Linked DNA regions of Daphnia pulex. The protein of the gene in region 1 purifies or fractionates together with the protein of each later gene. This does not show direct contact. Links are inferred from orthologs where the notes say so. Each region holds a gene or a part of one and is shown on either strand. Other genes may lie near its edges.

Region 1 (5,029 bases):
TTATGCGTGCCGTCAATGCCCGCTTAACGGTCACTGAATCCGCTAGATATAGTAGATAAAAAAATTGCCTGCAGCAGACATTAGCTATAACCTCATTCTCCTTCCTTTTTTTATATTTGTTTTTTATTTAAAGAGTCCGGATACGCTTTTGATAACCTCTTCCACTTTTAAAAACTCGTTGCCTAAAAATATTCGGCAGTCAAATCCTAAAAGCTCACTTCATCTCTGATACCACAAATAAATACCATTAAAAACGCTCAAAAATTCAAATAAATGGTTCAGGATGGGGGGGGGGGGGGCGCTTTTAACGCCAAGAAAAAAGAGAAAACCGGCAATGCCTGAAATCACTTTTCACTAAGATAACTCTTGCGAAGTCGTCTGCAACCATTCATATGTTTTTATGTTATTCAATCAATTCGGTATGATGGAGTAAAAAATTCGGATTGATTTCAATCATTTCTAATACTAGAAATGTCAAGTTTCACGCTGCCTTTCATTGCCATTGCAAGACCCGCTCGTCGTAGCTGGTGCAAGATGTTTCATGCGCATAGAAATTTCATTACCTTATCTAGGTAAATAATCTTTAATCTCTTCATACAGTTTGGATTACATTGTGTAACCTCTCTTTTATGCAGGAAGTTAACTGTAATTCAATGTAGTGCATTACAATATACTGGAAGCCATTCTGCTTGTCCAAGAGTAGTTTCGTCAAGTAACTCAAGTTATGGAGCAATTGACCTAGCTATTCCTAGTCGTGGTTTTCAGTTGCCTGGACTAGGAATTGGAAACAAAAGAAAAGACTATTCTGAAAGAAGGTTGTTGGGGTAATATAAAACAAATTAATTTTGCAATAGAAATTAAAAATGAACTTTCTAGGTATTCAATGGAACAAATGTACAATGTTGTGGCCGAGGTGGAGAATTACAAAAATTTTGTTCCATATTGCAAAAGCTCTGTAGTTACCTCACGAACTACTGGTCATCTTAGAGCTGATTTAGCAATTGGCTTTCCTCCTTTGTTAGTAGAAAGCTATACAAGCAGTGTCATGCTTACCCCACCAAACATGGTGAAGTCTGTGTGTTCAGAAGGGAAGCTATTCAACCATCTTCTTACTATTTGGAAATTCAGTCCTGGACTAAAGGGAAATCCTAAAAGTTGCACATTGGATTTTTCCATTTCCTTTGAATTTCGGTCTGTACTTCACTCTCAACTGTCACATGTTTTTTTTGATCAGGTTGTTAGGCAAATGGTTACTGCATTTTTGACAGAGGCTAGGAGACGTTACGGACCAGCGTCAATTAATGGTCAAAGGCCACAGATGTTATCTACACACGCCTAATGACTTAATCAATAATCACTAGCTAAATTGAAATGTTAAATAATATTGTATCTAAATTTGATGACATTACACGAATTGCGACGGCTCAAGTGAGTTTATTTTTAATGAAATCAGTACATGAAACTTGTGTAAAAATGTAGTACAGAAAGTGAATTACAATACATAATCGAGTTCATAACGATTAAAAGTGTTTTTCCCTTCGTTGGACACTCGAGGGTACCCACACACCAGTGAATCTTGACCGCCGATGTATAGTGAGTTGTAAATCTTCCAATACACGTCACGAACTTTCCGGGCCGGATGAAACAGACCCTATATAGAAAAGAAAATGGTTTAAAACTGAAATTCTAATTCAATCAAATAATTAAGTTACCTGCAGTGCGTATTGTAAGACTTTAATAGGGCCCAGGGCTACTCTCATACCCTCCACAGCATCCATAAAAGCTTGAACCAAATGAGGGGATGTTTCAAAAATATTGGGCCAAACGTAGTTCAACAGGTGTGTGAGGGCATCTTCACAACCAAAGCCGAAAACACCCAAAGCCATGTGCTTGATGGCTGCACAAGCAGTTTGACGATGGACCAGGTCACTAAAATAAACAGATGTGCTTCATTAACTAATTAATCATAAATTCAAAATAACTAGAAACTTACCGATCCATCAAAGCGTCTTCTAAGAGCGATGTAACTGAATAAATGTAATCCTTCCCCATCTCGCCAATGTACTCGAACAAGAATGACATCGACTTCAAAACACCATTTTGAACATTAAGTTCCGGGACTCTATATTCGTTCATAAGACCAGGGAGGACGGTGAAGGGCGAACAAGTTTCAGCCACAATTGCAATGGCAACGGTTGTACAAACACGATTTTGGCGCTCCTGTACCTTCAAATTATTAAGCAGTGTAGCCAATACATCGTGTGGGCCTGAAATTTGTTGTTGAAAAATAAATAATTATATTGTACATAATAACCATGACAATTTCGGTCTCACCAATTGCTTTGGCGATATAACCAAAAGTGTTGACTGTAGCTCGTCGAATGGCTTTCTTGTGTGCTTTCAAGAGTTCTAAAAGCTCAAAACAAATGCGCATCCACTCTCGAGCTGAAACGTACTCTGGCCCACGATCGGCAATACGCCCAACCAAATCGATGCAATTTTCCTGTACTTTTTCATGCCGATTCTAAAATGATAATAAAACCACAATAAGAAAAATAAATTACTGATATGTTAAAAAAGCGAACCTTCAAAATAGGTGTTAATCGGGGAAGTAAATCTTTGATTGGCGGTGTCATCTTGTGCATGCCAATTACGTTAACAATAGCTTTAAGAGCAGCTAAAATAGACCCAAGAACTTCAGGGTACTCTTCGCCAAGATATTCATAGAGAACAACTCCCAGATGCCCCATGAGCTTTTCTTCCTGACAAGTTTTCATTACTGCTGCAATACGGCTAATCAAATCAGCAGCTTGTTGCCGAACCTATGGAATAAAAATCATTATATTAAAACGAACGTTTACAAATAAAAGTTGTATAACATTACTTTTGCTGATTTGTTGTTCAAACGCCATAAAATAGTACCACAAATTTGTGGCAAATAAGGTTTAACTCGTTTGGAAAGTGAGTTCACGATTGTACCGAATCCATTTAGCATCACAACATCTTCAGTCGTTTGTTCCTGAAATGCGTAGAGAATACCGTCGATGAGCTGCTCTTCCAAGCGAGCGTCGATATCAGCGGCACCAAGATTACCCATGATCTTTTCGACCGTTTCCATAACCATTTTCCGGTATTGTTCATTTTCGTCCTGTTAGGAAAAATATTCAACATGTTATTTGACTGTCACTGAATTATAAATAATGAAAATGAATAAAACCTTTAAATCGTCAACCACTCGGCCAATAATTTCCGCTGCACCAACACGATTAGCGATTTCAACTGTTGTGTCAACTAGCTGGCGATAGTTACGTCTATCTAATGCCATTCTATGATTCCAGAAACTTTTGAAGAAATGTGGCAAAATTTCTGTTTTAATATACTGAGGTTCCACACCGTCAGTTGCGCAACACTGTTTCACCACTTTAAGTACAATCTTTTTCATTTCTTCGTCAGGTGACTGAAACTCGCGAATTAAAATTAACATCACTTCGCGAGTGTAATAATTGGCGTATTCGGCATCCATGAGAGGAATCAAATAGCCAATAGCCTATTTTTTTTAAACAAATAATATTACAGTATGCAGGATAATATTTTACTTTCAATTAACATACCTTAAGGAAAGCAGCCAATCCCTTACCACGATGAGTTCTTATACCCTTCCACAACGGTTTTAAAACAGAGTCAAAGCTCTCAATACCGTACGGAGTCGCGGCTTCTGCCAGCGCAGCAATGGACAAGGCAGTGATGGTGCGCACTTTCTGTTGCTCATCTACCAATCCATGTTCAATGATCTCAACCAGATTTCGCAAGTGAGGTAAAATAGCACATCCCATAAGAATAGCAATTTGTTGGACGATTTTGATGCCAGTATGGCGAGCTTGCCATGACTTTTTACTCTTGCAAACGGCCTAAAATAAAAATAATAGATAAGAACAAGCCCATCTTAAAACTGAAACAAACTATATACCTTTAGAAAGGGAAGAAGGGAAGGAATTCCCAGTGCAGAAGCTACCACAGCAAAAGCTCTTGCAGTAGTGTTACGAACATATTCATCAATGTTATCGATATCAGGTCTCATGGTAGAAATCATAGTTGCTAAACCAGCTGCTTTGGCTAAATTAGAGATGATTTCTCGACCTTCAACACGAGCATAATAGTCTTCGTCGATTAGCAGCGGTTCAATAACGACAAGGATTTTGTGGACGTATGGACGCACTAGATCATCCAATTTGTAGAGAATGCGATCGATAACTTTAACGAGCAAATGTCGCTCTTGGTCTTCAAGGGTAGGAGACATCAATAAAGGAAGGATCTGATTGAAAAGTGGACCAGCTCCGAATTCTCTAGCCTATTGAAAAACATAAACGCAGTTTGAAGATACAATTACTTTAAAATAATATATATCAGTTTACCTTATCAGTGATTTGTCTTAATGCAGATTTACGCATAGGTGGGGTACCGTTCTTGATTTTAAGTAAAAGAGTCATGATTTTTCGTTCTTTAAGCTCTTCTGGGCTCAATGAATCTTCATCAACATCAATCTGCAAAATAATAGAGTAAAAACTTTTTAATTTTACTTAAAAGAAATAGTTAAGTATAATTACCAATAGCTTGTCAAAATATTGGGCATCTTCTGGCTTCAAAAAGGGCAAGTTACCGCCTTTGGGTTGTGTGTCCATGTATTTTGAGGCAGTTTTATCTTCTTGTTGCATGTAGAATCCCGAATTGGCCCCAGCTAATGGAGTGGGAGTTGCAGTTAATTTGCGCGCCGGGGTACGTAGAGGAATGTATCCAGCTGGAGGAGGCAGGACCTTGTAGCCTTCTGGAAACATCCCGTCTAGTTCATCATCTCCAATTGGGCGGTTTCTTTCGTCGATTTCTCTTTCCCATCGGTATGCCTATTTCGATAAATTTCATTGTGGGTTACATATTGAACATCAAAACGGATAATGCACTGATTACTTGTAGTTGTTCAGGAGTCATGGTAACAAGGTGTCCTGGAGTTGGGGTAGCCATGGCCATAGCTTTT
Region 2 (4,919 bases), about 1.4 Mb from region 1:
CACAAAACGTTAGTTTAAAAAGAACGACAAAATAAAACAAAACCCAACAAAATGTGTCGTGACAAAATTGTGAGCCTGGAATCAAGGGTGTGGGAGTTTTATGATAGTCCAGATGTGTGAAAAGATCAATAAAAAGTGGTGGCATTCTTACCTTGGCAACCGATGATGCACTGTTGATGTTACTGCTAACCGAATGTGCAGCCAAAAAGGCGATGAAAATCGCCATATGTATTCTGGGATTCATTTTTGAGAGAATTTCCTGAGCGTTTGAGAGTCTGCCTTACGTGTGTGTGAGAGGGTGGAGAGAGAGATTTTTTCAGTATTATTTATTTTAAGAGCCGGATATCCGTTTCTAAAGTTTTCTTCCAAGATTTTTGTGTTATTTCAATACAAAAGTGGAGAACGTGGTCGAATAAATTAGGATAGTTGCAGCCTTTTGTCCGTTTTTCTAATTTTCTAAACACAGACGGTGATGCTCTCAGGTCAGGCTGGGCATTTTCTTTCTTTCTTTCACACTTCTTCTCTCTCACAGGCGCGCACTCAACCACACAGTTCACTGGTGAAGCCAAAACGATGGCCGAGTTTTACTCGTCGATTCGGGGACGGAATGTTAAATATCAACAGAACAAAAAGAGTTGCCGGGAATTGGCGTGATTTCGAGACACTTCTCGATGTAACCAAAGGCCGAAATGGATTAAAAGATCCCAACTCACGCCCAGATCATCAAACACACCAGCCGAGAGCCGCCATTAAACTGAAGGGACTGGATTTTTCTTTGTGTCCCTCCGCCGCCATTGGGTACCAAAAACTCTGCCATCTGGCGGCAGTTTTCAGCTCCTCCCCACTTTCTCCTCCAACAACATAGACGTGGAAATTATACGGACGAATGTAAACCACACACACGGGAAAGAAAAGGAAAAACAAAAATCAATCTCATCATTTCCTCATCATGTTGGGAAAAAATGAATGACTCAATTTAGGTCATGGATTCAGCGCTCAAAATATCTTCATCTCGAGAGACTAGTTTTGTTCTTTCCGACGCACCAAATTTCGTTGGAATGGAAAAGAAATCCCAGACATAGCGACTATCACATATACTGGTGAAGTCGTTTTCTTGCGAGTGTTAAAAAACTAGAAGGTCCTCTGTTCTATAGTCACACGGACACACAAAACTTAAGAAAATATCGAGGGGAGAGATTTAATGTTTGTTGTTTCTCCCTCCTTCTTCTAACACTCCTTTTCTTTTTTTACGATCGTGGGTTCGCCTGTTTTCCGGCCCCAATAATACCCATTGTTTTCCAAGACTGCGCGGGTGTTCATGAAATTCCTCGAGTTACAACTTCTTTTTCCCAAAAAAAGAAAGAGAAAAAGGGTTCGGAAATTCTTGAGCGATATACCACTGTGACAGCTTTTCCCCATCTCAATTTTTATTCTTTTATTATACCAAAGTCTTTCCAAGTTTCCAACAAGATTTGGAAAAGGCGACCACTATAAAATATAGATCTAGCAAGAAAAGGCTTCTGCTCCGTCAGTAGTAGTTGTCAAAACTTTTTCACTTTTTTTTTCTACAACTTGAAAATTTTCTTAAAAGTCTAGAAGCCGGAGCAATGGCGCTTGTGTCAGTAAACAATCCCAGCAATAATGAATTGGTGTCGGCCACCTCGGGTCAAGTGGCCCTGCAACAGGTTTGATTTATTTGTGTTTTATTTATAAACTTTTAAATGAGCCGAATGCATCACAAAAGAGAATTGCATCCAACCACATGCTGACCAGCTTGTGTGTTTTGTTGTTGTAGATGCTATGATGAATTCAAATGTGATATTGACTTTTTCAATAAACAGGGACCAGCAAGAACGTCTAGCCTCATGGCTCCTATAATGCTCCTGGCAGGACATCCTGGAGATATCTTTAGCCTGAAGTTCCATCCTGACGGCCAGTTTTTGGTTTCCACCGGGTTCGACAGACAAATATGTAAGCATCATATATACATTTGAGCATCTCTACTGTTTGGATAATCAACCTCTTGTTCAACAGTTTTGTGGAATGTTTATGGAGAGTGTGAAAACTTTGCTGTGTTGTCTGGTCACACCGGAGCAGTAATGGATCTTCAGCTGTCTACCGATGGTGATACCATTTACACTGCTAGTACAGACAAAACCATTTGTTTGTGGGACACCAGAACAGGAGCTAAAATCAAGAAACTGAAAGGTATACCATTGTCACTGTCCCATTATTTAGCAATTGAACCCAACAACAATTTGTTTCAACAGGCCACTCCTCCTTTGTCAATGCTATTCATCCTGCACGAAGAGGACCTCCTCTTCTCTGCAGCGCCTCAGATGACTGCAACATCAAAGTCTGGGATCCAAGAAAAAGAACCGAGACAGTATCATTAGATAATTCTTACCAAGCGACTTCCGTCACCTTCAACGATACCGCCGAACAAGTCATTTCCGCAGGCATCGACAACGATGTTAAGGTGAGTTCGCAAAATTCAATTGTTGTAATAGAGAGAGAGAGAGAGAGAAGAAAAACTATGGGACCAATTTCCAAGAATTTGAATTAAGCCACCGATTCGGCGAACTTCATATTCCGTGTGAGTGGGAGAAAGTCACAAACTTGAGTATTTTTCTTACAGAATTGATTAAAGTTCTCAGTATTTTTACTTGATGGCTTCAAGAGAATAGTTTGGCAAAAAAGGAAGGACCTGCAGTCATATTCTGTCTTTGTTGTAAAAACTAAAGTTTCGACATTGTTGATTGTTTTCTACTTAATATTGAACCATATTCGTGCAAGTTCTGTCTTACCCTATCATCGAGTTCATTTTCCTTGAAGAGTGCAAGGGATTTCAACTTTGGTATTCTGATTATCGCGTGTCTCACCTTGATAAGGTCACCAAGTCCTTCCTTACTTCCAGGGCCCCTTCTCTTTGATATATGAATGGGTTCACTAATGTAAGCTCGTAGGCGAAGTTTTTAAAATTAATTCAAGTAATTTCAGCAGTAGGGTCTCGTCAAATGTCCTAATTCCATCCTAATTACTGAAGATGCGCATTTTTGTGTTTTGTCAGTTTGAGGCAAATGTGAAACGCTGGAAGCGGATTCTGATACTTCTTTGCTTGTCAGATGGTTGCACATTATCGATCAAAACTTTTCCCCGTAATACTTATGACAATTTTGCGACATCTTTAGGAAGAATTTACTCTGAAAAATAGATAATTTTCACTTTTTATCGATTATCTTTTCGTTCGAACTAAACCCATGTTAAGTTTTCTCCTTTTTTTGGAAGATATTCATTTTAAAACCTGAAAAGTAGTTTTGCATTTGCGATATTTCAACTGGTCCTGGCCTTGAGCTATTCACGTGAATATGGAGAGATAGGTAAATCATACACTTTCCTTTTTAGGTCTGGGACTTGAGAAAAAATGCTCTCCTCTACTCCTTGAAGGGCCATTCCGACACTGTGACCGGCTTGACTCTCAGTCCTGATGGATCTTACGTGTTGTCAAACTCGATGGACAACTCTTTACGTGTCTGGGATGTACGACCTTTCGCTCCTCAAGAACGTTGTATCAAAATGATGGTTGGCCATGCTCACAACTTTGAAAAGGTATATACAATGCCGGCGAATTTCTCAATCCATTCTAATACCTTGTGTAATGTTATAGAATTTACTTCGCTGCTCATGGTCACCTGACGGAACCAAAGTTTCAGCGGGATCTGCCGACCGATTCGTTTACATTTGGGACACTACATCTCGCCGCATCATTTACAAATTACCTGGTCACAACGGAAGTGTCAATGACGTTGTATTTCATCCTAAGGAACCTATTGGTAATTTACGCAGCAAATCAACATCAAGGACATCAATTAATTTCAGATTTTTTATTTTGAATGAAACATAGTTGCATCCGGTGCCAGTGACAAGCTGATTTACCTAGGCGAAATTGACGCTTAATTAGGAAAGGTTATAATTTTTTTCAGTTGAAACGATGGCAAGGATCGAGGACGAATAAACAAATAATTCTTTTACGCATATTTACAAAATTGCATTTAAATTAATCGACATTTAAAGGCCAAAAAAAACTTAATTGGATTGTTTGCTCGTTCTCGAGTCCATTTAGAGATCATCACGTTAAGAAAATGCAATTATGAATGGAAAAACTAGGAAGAAAAGGTTAGCTAGGTACGAATAATGTTAACGGCACGTGAGAAAAATCAATGGATGAAGTGCCATCCTCTGATCAAGTGATGACTTGCGAGAAGGTGTTTCAAAAGTGTCTGAGTGCTATTGTTCTGTCACGTCTTCGCAGTGACAAAGATAGCGGAAGTGTCCTCCTTAGCGCTTTAGAGAATTCAGTACTCCTGAGAATGTAGAGCAAAGGGCTAATGACTGCGTGCAACAGATGCAGTTCACGTACGTATGGAATGAGTGCCGTGAATGTTGAATCGCTGCATTGGCGTGGATTCATTTGACAGATAACGATGGCCAGGAAAACAAAAGTTAATGGCAAAGCGAAGAGAATTAGCGGAACTATTCCAGACACGAGAGTGACGCTCGCTTCCAATTCTAAACGAGAAATAGTTTTATCTGGCAAATGCACAAAGTGCTCATCCGGTTTGAGTACAGCGTTTGTTGTCGGTAGGAGCGTTTTAAAGCGTAAATAATGACGAGTTCTAACATACACGACGACTTGCGCAACAGTTATGATGCCAACCAGGACGAAATGAGAAAACGTCACCCACTTCACCACAGACACTTCAACGGAACATACGGGAAACTGAATTTTGCCTAACCAATAGGGACTAGTTTGCATGAGCAACACCACAATCCAAGACGTGATGATAAACATGACCACTCCGACGACGGTGATTCGTCTTTGATGCCAAATAGGATAACTTATGGCGATCCAGCGGTCG

The links.
Region 2: the proteins of splicing factor 3B subunit 1-like (region 1) and U5 small nuclear ribonucleoprotein 40 kDa protein-like purify together in Homo sapiens (co-immunoprecipitation; 3 studies listed by BioGRID and IntAct, with this or other methods). This does not show direct contact. The link is inferred for Daphnia pulex from reciprocal best matches to the Homo sapiens genes SF3B1 and SNRNP40.

The regions. Positions count from the first base shown.
Region 1 is NC_060027.1:4,647,283-4,652,311, forward strand, and holds the end of splicing factor 3B subunit 1-like, read right to left. Parts: coding exon 4,963-5,029; intron 4,899-4,962; coding exon 4,605-4,898; intron 4,542-4,604; coding exon 4,413-4,541; intron 4,349-4,412; coding exon 3,968-4,348; intron 3,909-3,967; coding exon 3,612-3,908; intron 3,548-3,611; coding exon 3,218-3,547; intron 3,149-3,217; coding exon 2,885-3,148; intron 2,823-2,884; coding exon 2,586-2,822; intron 2,525-2,585; coding exon 2,335-2,524; intron 2,268-2,334; coding exon 1,994-2,267; intron 1,930-1,993; coding exon 1,713-1,929; intron 1,652-1,712; coding exon 1,493-1,651; 3' UTR 1,419-1,492; downstream 1-1,418. Other genes in the region: coenzyme Q-binding protein COQ10 homolog B, mitochondrial-like, read left to right, coding at 472-572, 636-824, 877-1,339. UniProt on the Homo sapiens protein: Component of the 17S U2 SnRNP complex of the spliceosome, a large ribonucleoprotein complex that removes introns from transcribed pre-mRNAs.
Region 2 is NC_060027.1:3,203,613-3,208,531, reverse strand, and holds U5 small nuclear ribonucleoprotein 40 kDa protein-like, read left to right. Parts: upstream 1-1,264; 5' UTR 1,265-1,607; coding exon 1,608-1,685; intron 1,686-1,841; coding exon 1,842-1,971; intron 1,972-2,034; coding exon 2,035-2,208; intron 2,209-2,270; coding exon 2,271-2,479; intron 2,480-3,405; coding exon 3,406-3,609; intron 3,610-3,667; coding exon 3,668-3,833; intron 3,834-3,904; coding exon 3,905-3,957; 3' UTR 3,958-4,037; downstream 4,038-4,919. Other genes in the region: syndecan-like, read right to left, coding at 152-244. UniProt on the Homo sapiens protein: Required for pre-mRNA splicing as component of the activated spliceosome. Component of the U5 small nuclear ribonucleoprotein (snRNP) complex and the U4/U6-U5 tri-snRNP complex, building blocks of the spliceosome.